2 linked regions of the Bombyx mori genome follow. The main gene of each other region encodes a partner of the protein of the gene in region 2 in a complex. Links are inferred from orthologs where the notes say so. Each region holds a gene or a part of one and is shown on either strand. Other genes may lie near its edges.

Region 1 (3,829 bases), on a different chromosome or scaffold from region 2:
AAAATACCTCTTGTAAATTAACAAGAGGTACGTCCTCTAATAGAGTAGGTAAAGTTTCTCGTAAAAACAGTAAATATGACTCTCCTGTCAGACGTTGTAAAAATACTGGTCCCAGTATGTGTGTACCGATCATACCCGCCCAGACATTGATTGAAAATCGATGTTGGAAGGAGTCTACTCTGCATGCGTGTGGATTTTCATGCATCCATAAATGCGTGTTATGTCGATTGTACATTCCCACACGTGTGAATGTACTTTCGTCAGTCCAAATAATGTTTCGCTGCCAATTTTGTAATAACCAGCGGCAGAACTCTAAGCGTGGTAAGTAGTCACTTGGCGTCAGCTCCTGGCATCACCTGAGGTGGAATGGATGCTCGCCATCACCACTAAGCGTGCGCCATATGTGCATATGGCTACAGCCAAAGCGTGGTGCTGCTTCCCGGGTGCTACTGTGCGGATTTTCGTCGAAATAATCGAGAATTTCGTTTTGGAGACGAGTGTGTGTACGCATATTGTCTCCCCTGTCGATAGCCGTGTTTGGACGAAAAGTTCCGTGGTCTCGAAGCCGTTGTGTTGCTGATAACATAGTGCGGCGGTCTACACTAGTACCGTATGTCGCGTTAAATATTCTACACGCTAGTGCCACATTATCATCACTTCGTGCCAAAGTTCTCACCATTTCTGTGTATTGAACGTTAGTATACCGAAAAGACATAGCGAAATACGGGAGATATTTTATTTGCACTATCACTTGACCTCTTATCGATAAGGAGGACGCGGCGTGAGTGACTTGTCAAAAATTTTTTTTTTTACTTCGTTGTTTAGATTTTTCTTTGATCACCGCCGACGCAACCGGGCTCGCCGCGAACATCGGGATTAGCCTGCCATCTCACTCTATTGTAAGAATATTAAGCCGACGAAAGAAAGGGATAGTAATTATTTTTGTATTACATGGCTTTCTTTTATGTATCGTAGTGTTGCTGTGTTAGTGTTGCTGTTGCTGTGTGATTGTGTGCGTAGGTATTTTATTTTGTAATAGACTATTAGCCTTGAAATAAGTATCAGATTTCTTTAATTAAATAATTTTTTTTACTAATTAGTTATTTCATTTTAAAAAGTCTTAATACCCTGACTTACGTTCCATTTTCGTTTCTATGAACTGTTTAGCTAGCTGTGTAGGGTGACTGTATTTTCCTTAGTTTTAACGCAATTTTTAAAAAAAAAAATTTGTCATAAAAAACAATCAAAATCGATCCAGATTCCGATTCTGAACAAATTACTTTCAGGGTGTGCGTTAATTATGTTACATGTTGTATATACGTTTATCTACGCAATTGAATCATATATTGTAGCAATAATCATTTATTGTACTGATAAACGTGACGCACGTCCTGACCGAGCGTCACGCGCCATCACGCGGCCTGACACTACGGAGCACACCGGGAGACGGAATGTGAACCTACTGTTGAGGTCTGCGGGCGCCAGAATGTGATAATTGAAGTTTCTTTTGACGAGGATGCCCTGCAGCTCCTGACCTTCCTTGGGAGGGTCTACCGCCAGGGAGCCCATCACCTGCGGGACGAGCAGTGCTATTAGCGCGTGGGGTGAGGGTGCGGGGCGGGGTGGGGTGGGGTGCGGGGCGGGGGCTGCACCTTGGCGGTGGTGTCTCCGCGGAAGCAGAGCGCGAGGGGCTGCGTGTTGCGCGGCGTGTGCACGAGGATGGCGCCGCGGTGCTCCCGCTCCAGCGCCGCGCGCAGCCGGGACATCTCGTTCTGCTCGCCGTGCACCAGCACCTGCACACCGCGCCCGCTGTAGTCGCCGCTACACTGCACTACACTACACTACACTACACTACAGCCGACACTCACCACGTGCGGCGGCTTCAGGATGTTGATGAACTCCGAGGTCTGCTGGTAGTCGGTGTGCGCCGAGAACGAGATGTAGTCCACGGACATCCGCAGCGGCAACTTCTGGCCGGACATGGTCGTAATCTCGTCCGGCTCCGACAGGATCGTCTTCGCCAGCGTCCCCTCCACGCAGTAACCTGCCACCGACCTCACCGTGAGAGTGTCGCCACTACAACGTTGTTGTACGCGGACGGATGCTATACTACTTTTAATAAAGAATTAACACATTTGTATCGGCAATACAACACGATATATGTATGTACTTTACACTTATAGATTAATTGATAAAATACGCTGCGCTGGCGACGTGTCGCTGCGGTCAGGAGGACGCTCCGGCCGGACTCACCCGCTATGATGACTCCGTTCTTAGGGTCGGTGCACCAGGACTCGAACAGCTCCCGAGACAGTCCCGACTGCATCATGCCCGGGGACGCCATGATCACGCACGGCCCTATGTCCTCAAAGTGGTCTATGCCCTGAAGTCAGAGACACAATATACAATAACGAGCTGGATAGAGGGAGCGCGTCGTCGAGAGGCGGCAAATAAAGTTAAATGCGAGAAACACGCGTGTGGTTGACAAGTACGGCCTAGATCGGTGTTTCACAACATGGGACCCACACCCCACAAGGGGGCAATCGCACTAAATTAATATAGAAAATCTGTATTAAAATTATTTTGAATTTCAATTCAGTTTTTTATTATATATTTTGAAATATTACTTATTGTGTTCTGAGAACAATTTCATAGTGATTTCTTCCTAAAATCTATCATTTATGCTTCTTAAGTGAACAAATCAATTTCTTATGTATGTGGGACATAAAAATTTTAGAAATGTTACAGTTGGACACGGCACAAAAAGGTTGGGAAACACTGGTCTATAGAAATAATTATAAAAAGCCAGTATTCTCTTTTATATTAAAATGTTACTGATTTCACACATATGATTAATATGCACATGCAATAATCGGTTGACATATGCCCCAGGACAACAGACCCCGCCCCGCCCCCTCGGCGGCTGGGGGTTCCCGTGCGTGTGCTCTTGTGTGATTAATCGGTTTTATTAAAATACACATCAGATTTTTTTATTGAAATATTTATATTGTTTGTAGTCGTTATGCATGTGGCTATTGTTATAAAAGTGGTTGGTATACTGACAACGTAAGAACCTTATTGGCGTAGACCTGTAAATAAGAAAATTAAAATGAATATGTTTAAATTTACAAGTGAACTTAACAAAAAAATATTATATTATGTTAAAATTACCTATTAGTTTTGTATATTTCATTGTTTATAAATTTCTATACAAGAAATCAATGGCCCAGGGCAAAAATGTATGAGTCCAGCCCAGGGACCAGCACAAATGAGGCACGTCGTAATAATTACGGGTATATAATACAACTTCAACCCAGAATCGATGGTGTCACTCATACATACATTGATTGCAAAACATCATGAAATATGGCACTACTAAAACGTATTGATTAACGTTGCTTTTCTTTCTTCTTAATCAACATAATACAAATAACTCATTACATTGTGCTTGACAAATTACGTGAAACGATTTTTAATTTATATCAATAAACTAGCGGCCCGGCAGACTTCGCAGTGCCTAAATCGATATAAAAGACCTAAACTTTTTTTTAAATAAACTTAAAACAAACAAAAGGAATCCGTCCGACGGGGGACACATGAAATGAAAAACAAAATTGTTATTTTTGTTTAATTCCAAGCATTTTCATATTTATCTACCTTTTAAACCTTCTCTGGACTTCCACGAATAGTTTAAGACCAAAATTAGCCAAATCGGTCCAGCCGTTCTCAAGTTTTAGCGAGACTAACGAACAGCAATTCATTCTTATACATATAGATAGAAGATAGATGGTATGGTTCAGGTGATTTACGTGTGGATTAAATGGCTCGC
Region 2 (4,551 bases):
GATCGGGGAACACCTCGGTTCGACGGGAATTCCGCTGCCCGTCGCACAGCCCCCTTCATCCTGACAATTGTTGCCCCCCCCAGAGTACGTGGGGCAGCGTGCTTCCACTGAGGTGGAAGCACGGAGGGATTCTCCGCCCGACTCGCGGGCGGTACCCTCCTGGGGTACAAACTTTTTACAATGTGCCATCATATATTGCGTTTTTATTAACCAGGGGTTTGGTCCCCTGGGATCTATGACACCCTCGGGACTGGAAACCCTCCAGCCATACATCCCATCGCCGGGTGTCGAGCTTGGGATTAGGGCATTTTTGAAGAGGTTTGCATCCTCGCGGCTTCGACCAGTAAAGGCAGAAGCCCCCGTTCCCCATGACTGGGGTTTACGGTTTGGCCGACGGTGGCCGAAGCCTGTCCATCGCCCACAACGCGGTGCGGAGCCACGCCGGCGAACCGGTACCTCCCATATCTGGAAGGCCTTCCCCTGTAGCCGAAGCCGGGGACATGGCAACCCGCAGCCGGAAGACACCAAAGTGCCGCTGGCTCACCAGGCTCCCGAGAACCAACCCCTCATCCCCAGAATGGAACTCTTTGTCAGTGCAAAGGGCGTGGGGAGAAGGTCCCTCGCTCCCTCTCAAGGCATCCCCCGCAGAATGCGAAGGCGGCCGAGGAGAGCTGGGCGCAGTTCTCTTAGTCGCGGCGTCCCACACAGATTCCTCTGCACGCGATTTTAGGGACGCACGCTTAAGCCCCACCGCCACGACAAGGCGGAACTACATTCGGTGGGGCGCTTACAGGTCATGGGATAGAGTCTGCAGAGAATAAACGCGGCACGGTCGCGGACTGATTTTATATGTGGGCGAAATGTCATGGATGCATCCAGGGCGACAGGGTGTGATCGGGGGTGTGATATTTCTTCTCCTAATACGGAAGGAAATAAGCGATGAGTTTCTCCTTTGAAATAACATTGCTGTGCTTTTCGCTGGGTTGATATCTATGCGCCATTTTCAGAACCACTGTTCGAGGGTTAATGCTGCACTCTGGAGCTTACTCGCGATTAGAGACTTGTTTCTACTCGAGTAGTAAAGGGTTGTGTCGTCGGCGAAGAAGGCTAAATGGGTCGGCAGCGACCGGGGAATGTCGTTAATAAATAAACTAAATAGGAGTAGAGAGAATACTATTCCTGTATTCCTGTTTGTCATTTCGTAAAATATCCCCTATGATAAATGAATGAGTGAAGTTGTCTGATTTGTTTTATTTTGTCTATTTAGTGTTTCTTCAGGCTTAAATACGTAATAACGGTGGCTTATTAACTGTTTAATAGCTGTGAAAGTGCACAAATGTGGAATAAAAAATACAGCCGCTGGACGTAGCTTCTCGGGATTCTCCAAAAAGCCCACTAAAAAAGTCTCAGTAGTAAATAACCACCATTTTACTGAGATTATATTATTTCATCTCATATCATCTCATCTCATTTCATTTAATTTCATCTCAGTTGATTAATGTCTCAAATTAATCATTTTCATGTAATTTCACCCCATATTATCATTTTTCATAAAAATAATAATATAAATTAAAATAAGACTTGACTTAAAGGTCTTAGTTACCAGGTCATAAAATTCCTTAAAAAAACAATTCTAAAGAGTTTAGCTAAACAAAAACGTCTTTAAAAATATAATTTACTAATAAATGTTATATCATTCGGCATTCTAATTGAACAATCACTACCGTACCTGCATTAAAACAAAATTAGATAATTATAATATGCAGTAAACTACCAAATAATAGTACAAAATGACTTCAATAATTAAATTACATTGCTTATCTGGTGCTGGTGAGGAAACTCCTCCGTGCTATGTGCTCCAAATAGATGAATTCAAATTCCTCCTGGATTGCGGATGGGACGAGAAATTCGATATGGTTTTCATTAAAGAACTTAAAAGGTTAGTTTTTAGGTTATGTTTCGAAGAATAAAAAAAGTATACAATAATAAAAAATAACGTTCAACATACAGCGATCCCAAGCTATATATATTCGCCAATATATACAGAACACGGACAAACACACCTTCACCCCGAATATCAAATACTACAGACGAACTCTCACCAGGATTCCAGTCCGTTGTTTTTATACTAAATAAACACTATCAACGGTGCGATTACCATAACAGCACAGTTCTGCTTTGAAACCACTACCGATAGCCACTAATTCCACACGTTAAATTGGTGTTCTTCAATCATAAACTTAAAAAACACACTTAACTTTATTTCTCGGTCCTGATGCCGCCTTTGCCTTGACACAGGACTAAACATAATATTTATATTAAAAAAATGTTACTCCTGTAATAAAATAAACATGAAAGTAGATTTGAATATGAGACAGGGTGTCCTAAAAAGTATTGGATAGGGCTGATCGAAAAAAAAACATCCAGCATTGGCATAATGTGGGCAAGAAGAAAAAATTATCATCCAATTACAAAAAAAAAAAACATTTGCTAGGAACAAAACTTATACTTTAACAAATTTTACTAGAATATATGAACTAGTACTTACATTAAATACATAATTACTATTTTAATGTTTATACGTAAAACAGATAAATTTTGCAAAATATAGAAGTACAGAAATTTTTAATTTGTTTGTGTGGTAATTTCAGTTATTTTGGTTCACTATCTACTCTAATATTGTTTGCTTTGGTTTACCATGTAGATGTATTGTACTGTTAGGTTTATATAAAATAAAAGAGTCAATATTAATAATAAAATATTCATTTAATTATGTACTCATCATATATCTATTGTGTATCATCACTTTGTGTATAATAATAAACCAAACTTTGGTACTGATATAAACACATTTTATTAATTTCAGACATGTAAATTCAATAGATGCTGTACTAATATCACACTCGGATCCTCTACATTTAGGAGCTCTTCCATATGCAGTTGGAAAACTCGGTCTTAGCTGTCCAATATATGCAACTCTACCGGTATACAAAATGGGGCAGATGTTCATGTACGATTTATACCAAGCCCATAAGAATGTGTCCGAGTTCGATTTGTTCACACTGGATGATGTTGATATGGCTTTTGACAGAATCGTACAGTTGAAATACAATCAGAGCATTGAAATGAAAGGTAATAACAGAATTTATTTACATTTGCAGTTGTTTCTGTTATGCTTCTAATATTTATGCTATATACACACCTAGTTTTTTTGTTTATTGCTTGATCAGACGGTATACCTGTCTAGTGTTAAGTGATTACGGAAACCCAAAGACATCTAAAACTTAAATTGTGCCACCTACCTTGAGACATGAGTTAGTTCTAATGTTTTACAGTACAATGCATGCCCTACCCTTCAATCTGAAACGCATTCCTGTCTCACGGCAGAAATAGGCAGGGTGACAGTAACTACCTGTGTGGACTCACAAGACGTGCTGCCACAAGTTTAGAGAAGAGAGGTCACAATAAATATTCAATAAAATATATGCAATAAAATATTCATTTAACTTGTCTATGCTTAACACCCTACACAAAAGCAGTCAAGAAAGCCAATCAGCAAGAACACCAAATCACAGCCAGACTAGTAGTCTATAGGAGTATTAAAAACTTTCAGATTGTCTTAAGCACTTTAGAATAGTCCTCATCCTCATCAGTGTGCTTGCTATGAGTACAACATGGATTCTTCTTTTTTCTCCAGCTTGTTCCACTAGGTGGGGTCGGCACAGCTAATTTTTCTCTTCCATTCTCTTCTATCAGCCGTCATCTTAAAACTCACTCCTCTCTCTCTCTCTCATATCGTCATTCACACACTACATCCATGTCTTCTTTGGTCGACCTCTTCCCCCTCTACCTTGCACTACCATTTCTATACATCTCCTGGATTTACAACATGTTGAATGGTACAACATGGATTATTGTTTTAAATCTCAATAATATTTTTTTTTTTTCTCTAAAGTGCTAAAGACTCAATACTCACAAAAATCAATTCTTTCATTTAATTTCTTAACTAAATTTGCTTTTCCTAGGAAAAGGTCTAGGTCTCCGCATTACACCACTCCCAGCTGGCCATTCCCTTGGTGGAACAATATGGCGCATATCCGCCCCCGGCGAGGAAGATATTGTTTACGCGCCTGACTTCAACCACAAGAAAGAGAGACATCTGAATGGATGTGACATCGAAAGACTGATGAGACCCTCTCTGATGCTGTTGGGAGCTATGAATGCTGATTACGTGCAACAGAGGAGAAGACTGAGAGATGAAAAATTGATGAGTTAGTGAATATACATATAAATGTTACGTCTTCGGATTTACTAGTAATACTTTACAACACATAAAAATTTATGGTCTAATAGATAAGTTGTCTGGTGCACTTATATGACAACCCTGTTCATCACACGAATATCTGTCCTATGTGGAAATCACACCCACCACCCGGCAGTTAGGAATGTAACTACAGGTAAATTTTTAAAATTTACCATACTGTGGTAATGTTGGGGCCTAAATCTATTTATTATATGTGTGCTTATTTCTCGACACCTCAGCAGCTGCAT

The links.
Region 1: probable cleavage and polyadenylation specificity factor subunit 2 (region 2) and cleavage and polyadenylation specificity factor 73 share a complex: the UniProt entries of both Homo sapiens proteins name them as parts of the cleavage and polyadenylation specificity factor (CPSF) complex. The link is inferred for Bombyx mori from reciprocal best matches to the Homo sapiens genes CPSF2 and CPSF3.

What each region holds. Positions count from the first base shown.
Region 1 is NC_085125.1:202,390-206,218, reverse strand, and holds part of cleavage and polyadenylation specificity factor 73, read right to left. Parts: exon of another isoform or gene 2,665-3,829; intron 2,384-2,664; coding exon 2,254-2,383; intron 2,045-2,253; coding exon 1,869-2,044; intron 1,794-1,868; coding exon 1,653-1,793; intron 1,573-1,652; coding exon 1,464-1,572; intron 1-1,463. UniProt on the Homo sapiens protein: Component of the cleavage and polyadenylation specificity factor (CPSF) complex that plays a key role in pre-mRNA 3'-end formation, recognizing the AAUAAA signal sequence and interacting with poly(A) polymerase and other factors to bring about cleavage and poly(A) addition.
Region 2 is NC_085131.1:11,906,941-11,911,491, reverse strand, and holds the start of probable cleavage and polyadenylation specificity factor subunit 2, read left to right. Parts: upstream 1-1,601; 5' UTR 1,602-1,790; coding exon 1,791-1,939; intron 1,940-2,866; coding exon 2,867-3,132; intron 3,133-4,025; coding exon 4,026-4,271; intron 4,272-4,551. UniProt on the Homo sapiens protein: Component of the cleavage and polyadenylation specificity factor (CPSF) complex that play a key role in pre-mRNA 3'-end formation, recognizing the AAUAAA signal sequence and interacting with poly(A) polymerase and other factors to bring about cleavage and poly(A) addition.